Saccharomyces cerevisiae S288C: one gene and its partner. The gene in region 1 interacts genetically with each later gene. Each region holds a gene or a part of one and is shown on either strand. Other genes may lie near its edges. The genes, in order: SHE3 and PMT6.

The links.
Region 2: mutations in SHE3 (region 1) and PMT6 together harm fitness more than expected from each alone (negative genetic interaction), as found in Saccharomyces cerevisiae (2 studies listed by BioGRID).

The regions. Positions count from the first base shown.
Region 1 is NC_001134.8:494,759-498,570, forward strand, and holds SHE3 (She3p), read right to left. Parts: upstream 2,112-3,812; coding exon 834-2,111; downstream 1-833. Other genes in the region: OPY1 (Opy1p), read right to left, coding at 1-581; CCZ1 (Ccz1p), read left to right, coding at 2,405-3,812. UniProt on the Saccharomyces cerevisiae protein: RNA-binding protein that binds specific mRNAs including the ASH1 mRNA, coding for a repressor of the HO endonuclease. Part of the mRNA localization machinery that restricts accumulation of certain proteins to the bud and in the daughter cell.
Region 2 is NC_001139.9:895,635-899,567, forward strand, and holds the start of PMT6 (dolichyl-phosphate-mannose-protein mannosyltransferase PMT6), read left to right. Parts: upstream 1-1,867; coding exon 1,868-3,933. Other genes in the region: YPP1 (Ypp1p), read left to right, coding at 1-1,512. UniProt on the Saccharomyces cerevisiae protein: Protein O-mannosyltransferase involved in O-glycosylation which is essential for cell wall rigidity. Transfers mannose from Dol-P-mannose to Ser or Thr residues on proteins.

The DNA of each region.
Region 1 (3,812 bases):
TCCATCGTCAAACTGCAAGAATGCTTGCTGCTAGAAGGACCCGCCTTTTCGTCAACTACAATTAAATCATCATCATCCTCTTCTTCATCATAATCACTACCTGTAGTGACACTTTCGTTGCCACTAGGACTAGAGAGGAATTTTTCAAGGGCAATTTTCCAATTATGCATCAGTTCCATACCAACCTTCTCATTTTGCCCTCGTGGAAATTTGAATATTAAATCCTTGGATGGAGTATAAACAGTTAATATACCATCGAGCTCGCTTATCTTAAAATTAAGTATGTCAAATCTCGGTATGACACTTATAGCCTCTCTTTCATCCCGAGTTTTGTAATAGGCAAATTGGTTTTTCCTCAAGACACACCAATATTGATGGTCTGTTGTCCGAGGCCACCATAAATGACGATGGTGATGATGGTGATGATGGTAACCCTGCGGTGCACCATCAGCAGCTCCATTGTTACCTGAACTGGATTGAGCTGTCGGCGTTTTATTTTGAGACGTTGATGGCTTCTTGATGAGATTCGATGCGATCAAAATTTCATGCTGACTTGACGGAGCAGTCGCACCTGCTATCATTGGTCTTATGAAATTTACCAAGGCAAAATTAGCGTAATTATTTATGGTTAATTCACCTACTGGCTACTATTGCGTACCACATTTTGGCCTGTTCGTTTAATTTCAGCCACATTATAGTAGAGAAAAAACCGTTGTGAGTGACCGAAAGTGAAAAATATGGATTCGTGTCTATAAAACCTTAGAGGCATCTATTTACTTTTGTTCTATTATCTAAATGAATCCTATATATATACTCCCTTGTGTCGGCATATTCTAGGATTGGGCCCCGTGAACAACCATACTATTTCCCTTTTTCTTATGAGTGGAGGAAACAGTTCTTGTAACACCGGGAGGCACTGAGATTGTGGGAGATGTACTTGGATCGTTATTATGCGTTACATTTGTTTTACTACTGCTCGAGCTTGGTTTTCTTACTGAGGCAGTTCTTTTAACACCAGGCAAAACCGGGGATGCAGATTTTGGAATAGAACCCGATGACAGCAAAGGCGACGCAGTATAGAAACTTCTTCTTTTATTGTTACTGCTATTACCATTGGAGGATGAATCGTTTGTGTTCGGCGTCTTTCTTAATTTGACCATCTTAATAGGAAGCATATCCTGTGCATTATTGCTACTCAAAGCGTCAGCGTTGTTGCTTTCCACCTGGGTTTGTACATTCTTCTTCAAGGTTTGTACTACCGCGCCTTTATTACTAATCTTCTCATCGTTTCTTTTCAAGACGTCTTTCAAATCCATCTTTTCAGCAAAAGTTGATATCAGATTTTCGTTCGTCTGGTACAGATTTAGCCAGCTTTGTAGATTTAACTCATCTAAAGAGTGAGTGATTATCTTGCTTAATTTTGAATCCTTTTCTGTTTCCAGAGATTTCAAATCTTTCACAGAGTCATTGAATTTATTTAAATTCAATTCTATATCTGAATTTGAACTAGTATCTGAACCATAATTTAAATTTTGATTACTTAACTCTAACTCCAACAAACCGATTTTTTCATTTAATTTGGAAATTTCATCAGAATAGTGGTCTCTGTAAAGATTTTGTGACTCCAATAATGAATTATAGTTAACTTCCATATTTTGCAATTTTTCAGAGCAAGATTGTTCAATGGCACTAGAATTTTTCGCCAATTTACTCAATTGATCCATTTTCTCCTTTTGTTCATTGTAACGGTTACTCAATTCGCTATAATCTTTCTCTAGCTCTTTTAGCTTCTTGTTCTTTCTTTCAAATATCGAGTTGAGATTTTCGTTCTCGTTCTTCAGCAGATTTAAATTTTCCAGTAGTTTTGATTCTTTGGATTGTGCTAATTCCAATTTACTCAATAAATTTTGAGATTGCGTAGTCAATTGTAGATTTGTTTTTGTCAGCATATCAATCTGGTCATGCAGTGATTCAATGACTCTCGAAGATGAGGCATTTTGGCTGGAGGTATTTCTATCTTTTGTGGGGGAACTTTCCAAGTTTGCCATAAAAATATTATGGTGAGGTGCCAACTTGCTTGAAGAAGTCTGGGTATTATCCTGGTCCGACATCTTACACAAAAGTAGTGTCGTTGAACCTTGGCGTGCTTGATAGACGAGCTAACGTTTGGTAACCCCTTCAGACTGCTGCTACTCATGGCAACAAATCAATAAACAAAATGCAATAGTAGTTAGTAATGAAGCTCTCGCCCGAACAAAAGACGAAACGAGCGGGTAACTATTTAGCCTATTTTATTGCGATGACAATAATATGTAGTAGCAATAGGGAAATAGTTTCATTTGACGTGGAACCAAAAATACATTCTAAATCGTACAACTATTAAATTGATATATGAAAGACGGATATGAGACTACACTATATTACGGTTTTTGATCCATCAAGATCTACCAACGAAAATGACACTTTCAAGCAGTTGCTGCTGTTCCATTATTTTGGCACTACTGATTCAATACCCTCTTTAAACGAAAAACTGTCCATCATAGGAGTAATACAGGGCATTTGGTCACTTACGAGTTCATGCGTAAACAAGGACGGCGAAGATTTAGAGAAAATTATTGAGCTGAACAATGATATTATTTTTTGTATTAAGGTGGAATCAAGATTTTTCATCAGTCTAGCAATTTCGAATATCAGCGACGATCAGAGTGCCATACCTTTACAGTATCTCAGTGCTTACTTATGGCTTAGTTACAGGTTCTTCAAGCTACTCAATGGGTCATTCAGCGGATTTAACAAGGACTTCCGCAAACTCACGGATTTGTTGAACGAATTCGTTATTCCGTTCTGGAATGATATTTATTTGAATCTAGAAACTGTAACGAATAGATCATTTACTGTAATGTGGCCTGGTTTTTATAAAAGGGCAAATTTTCAACATTCCTCTTATAATCCTGGAGAAAAAAATAATGTCGAAGAGTCATGGGACGCTATAATCTTGCAGAATATTCTTTTAGATAAAAAGAGTTATCTAGGACTAAAGGACATTTTGGTTTACCACCTACCAAAGCGCACCAAAGCGGCTAATAGGGAGTCTATGGGAACAAAAACTTATGGACTAGTAAGGAACTTTACCAGTGACCTGAACACATTACCAGATATCTCAAATTGGCTATATCATTTGCACTGCACCTATGGTGAAATATCAAGTCATATATTAACAGGAAATGTCCATTTTAAAGAGGAGCTACAAGTAGAAGAAGAACAAGAGCGAAGTCGTGATACAAACGGAAGAGACGAAGAGGAATCACAGGAGCAACAGCGACGGGAGCACCAAGAGACTACGCAAAACAATACAAGCGAACTCTCTCTATCGGAAAGAGTGATACACAACGTAACACTCCCCATTTCTTTTGCATACGACGCTATACATGAAGTGAGTACCACGACTGGTGTTTCGGGTAGCTTATCCATGATAATGGACTATGTACCGAAGCCCCATTGGCCGTTCATTTCATCCTCTAACAAAAGTGCCGACAAAAATAATTACTCAAATAGCAATGATAACGCAAATTCGAATGCCCCACTGATGGCGCAATCAGAGGCTGTTGGAGGGACGATAGGCAACTCGAGATTTGGTTTCCTAATTTCCCCATTGAATTCAGACCTGTTGCCATCATCATACCAAGCCCTGAAACTGAATTTGAACTTTGAAAACTCCAAAGACAAGGAGGATTTTTATAATTGCCTATTTTGGTACTTTGATGATTTTTTAATTGTAATTGTCTGTGATCCGGACTTCAACAAGATTTGTG
Region 2 (3,933 bases), on another chromosome or scaffold:
CTTTTCCAAAACCTAAGCGATAACAGTAATGACGAAATAAAGAAGAAGACATTTAAAAGAGAATCTATACTAAATTTTGTTAATTTTGTGAAATACAACGACAAGTACTATCAACTGCACGATAACTCCCACCGTGACATAATTTCATTCATTGATGCGTATTCTTTTATTTTACAAAACTCCTCCAAAACCGATTCAATCGAAAATGTTTTTGATTACGATAATACGGTATCTACGTTTGCGACTTCCTTGAATTCCTTCTACAAAGAATATAATTTGCCATTAATGAGCCAATCAGAATCTTTAGATTGGCTAGAAAACAGCACCAGATGTGTATACCCAGGAAACATTTCGAAAGTTCTAACAAATGCGTGGTCAACATTGTACGAAATCAGAAAATATCAGTTAGATTTTCTTGTATCTAATAATTTGACTTCATATCTATGTAATGCAATGATGCTGTCCACAAAAGAAAAAGACAATGCTGATGTAGAAGAGCAGGAAGAAGGAGAGGAGGAGAAGGCATTACGTGAATTACAATTTAAATATTCTTACACTCTAGCACAACAGAGGCACATTGAAACTGCAATCAAGACTCTAGAATCATTGATATTAAGTAAAAACCCAAATTACTACAAAGCTTGGCATCTATTAGCTCTTTGTAGGTCTGTGCAAGAGGATAAGGAAATGTCGTACAAGATAGTTTGCTCTGTTCTAGAAGCTATGAATGAAAGTCTTCAGAACAATACTTTACTTCTGAATGATAGATGGCAATTTATTCACCTAAAATTAACGCAATTGGCGCTAATTGAAGAAATTTTTGGCACTTTAGAGGCACTGGAGACACTTCCAGAGGTCTTTGAATTATACGCAACATTATTTCCAGATTCACAACCTGAATTGAACAGCATGGGTCCCAAATATTCTCAAACTAAAGAATATCTTTTACAAATGGTGTGGATTTTTGCTGCAAATATGTACATGAGAACAAAAGACAATGATGAGGATGCCAAGGCCGCCATCAAAGAAGCCTCCAATGTCGAAAGTAAATTCAAGAATTTAAATTGTAATATTGCTAACGGTTATTTATCAATAATAAAAGATGAACCAGGCGTGGCATTAAAGGAATTTGAAACAGTTCTGTACTATGATGAGAATAATTTAGATGCCTTGGTCGGATTCGCTGAATTAATTTTCCCTGAAGAACTAGGCGTCGAGGAAACTAATCTTGAGCGTTATTATACTCTCAGCCTTGATAAAAAACCAGGTAAGAGGGCCAAACTTACGTTCGTTAATGACACAGATAGGTCAGCAGCGTATGCAAGACTAAAATTTCTATTGGAGTGCGCAATACTAGAATCGATCGAGGCTTACTATTCCCCAGAAGTTTGGTGGTATTTGTCCCTCATTTACGAGAAATATCAAGATGACGAGTACAAAAACTCTTTGCTAAAATGTATTAAATACCAAGAGTTGAATCCCATTCGCTCCCTAAGGTATTGCAATTACTAACGATAATTCTTCTGATATATACACACACATATATACATATGGGCGCAAGTATATTCTGGTGTAAAGATACTCATAGAAAGCATAAAGATGTAATTCAATCTAGTTGTATTATATTATTCATTGATTTATATTAATTTGATGAACAATGGAACATCTTCTCTTCAATAACGGTTTTGCCCATATACTTGACGTTATTAGGTTACCCGTTTTTATAAATGTAATAAGTTCAATAATTTGAAAAGAGCATTAGCTATAGTCACGTTTCGCGTTGAAACAATTCTTTAAATTATCTTCTCTTGGCAGTTTAATATACCAAACGATAGTCCTAACATACTGTTTTTCTTATTATTTACCAATGAGTAAAGCCAAGGGAACGGGATTTTCATCAATTGATACTGAAGATGAAAACTTACGCGAACGTTATGTTAATCAACCAAAAGCTAATGCCTCCGATATTCAAGATGAACAATTAGATTGCTTTGAGCAACTAGAAGAAAAACATAGGACAAAAAAAAATGAAGAATACACTGCGTTGAAAATTTTAAGGGATGTCATAGGTCCCCTTTTATTAACTATAACTTCGTTTTATCTAAGATTCCAACATATAGATCAGAACAATTATGTTGTCTGGGATGAGGCTCATTTTGGGAAATTCGGATCATACTACATCAAACATGAGTACTACCACGATGTCCACCCTCCACTTGGTAAAATGCTTATTGCATTGAGCGAATGGATGGCAGGATTTGACGGTCAATTTGACTTTTCCTCTAATAATGCATATCCGGAAAACGTAAACTTTAAACTAATGAGACAATTTAATGCCACATTTGGAGCTCTATGTACACCAGTAGCTTTCTTTACAGCCAAATGGATGGGGTTCAATTATTTTACTGTTTATTTGATTGCTACGATGGTAACGTTGGAACATTCATATATTGTCCTCTCAAAATTCATATTGCTAGATTCAATGCTGCTTTTTTTCTCGATGACGACTTTTGCCTGTATGATAAAGTTGTATACGTTGAGAAAGCAACAAATGACGAAAAAATGGTCGTTATGGATGTTATTAACTGGTTTATCTATTGGTTGCGTTTGTTCTGTGAAATGGGTTGGTCTTTTTATCACAGTTGTAGTCGGCCTCTACACATGTATAGAACTATTTTTGCTCTATTGTGATAAAGAATTGCCTAGAATAAAATATTACAAACATTGGCTTATCAGAATCATTAATCTGATAGTAATTCCTTTTCTTATCTATCTCTATTGCTTCAAAATTCACTTTGTGTTGTTGTACAAATCTGGCACGGGGGATTCTACTACAAATACGTTATTTCAGATAAACTTGGAGGGAACTCAGATTGAGGCGGGTCCTCGTGATGTAGCATTTGGGTCAGAGTTAACCATAAGGTCGCATGGTTTAAGCCCGAATCTGCTGCATTCACATATTCAAGTATACCCAGAAGGCTCTGGACAGCGCCAAATCACTGGATATGGATTCGCAGACTCTAATAATGTTTGGAAGTTTGAATTTTCTAGGTCTTCTGGATTGGAACTAGATCAGAACGGGACTTTGAATGGCAAAATAATCCCAATAACGGATGGTGTGGAAGTTCGTCTCAGCCATAAAAATACAGGATCGAATCTTCACTCGCATGATGTACCTTCTCACGTCTCTAGAGGAAATTATGAGGTTTCAGGCTATGGGTCACAAAGTGTTGGCGATGAAAAGGATGATTGGATAGTGGAGATTGTGAAACAAATGGATTCACCAAATCCCGTCTATTCTAATGAGAATTCAACTATTTTACATCCAGTTTCTACTTTCTTCAGGTTGAGACACAAAGTTTTAGGTTGTTACTTGGCTTCTACTGGATTGACGTATCCAGCTTGGGGATTTAAACAAGCTGAAATCGTCTGCAAAGACTCCTGGAGTCGTAGGGACAAATCGACCTGGTGGAATGTAGAAGATCACTGGAACCACAATTTAGAAACCGCAGAAGATTACGTTCCACCAAAATCCAATTTTTGGACCGATTTTATTCTAACTAATTTTGCCATGGCCTCCTCTAATAACGCGTTAGTGCCTGATGAGGATAAATATGATAGTTTATCGTCTGATGCATGGGAATGGCCAACCTTGCATAAAGGGCTAAGAATGTGTTCATGGGCGGGATATATCACTCGATATTACTTGATGGGATCTCCCTTCAATACATGGATTTCTACTGTCTCCTTAATCATCTTCCCATTTATTATTCTTTTTATATTATATCGTTGGAGGAGACAAACGCTTTATCTCTCAGACGATCAAATCTGGCAAATAACGATACAGGGTATTTTTCCTTTCATTTCCTGGATGACACATTATCTGCCTTTTGCAATGATGGGGAGAGTGACGTATGTACATCACTACGTTCC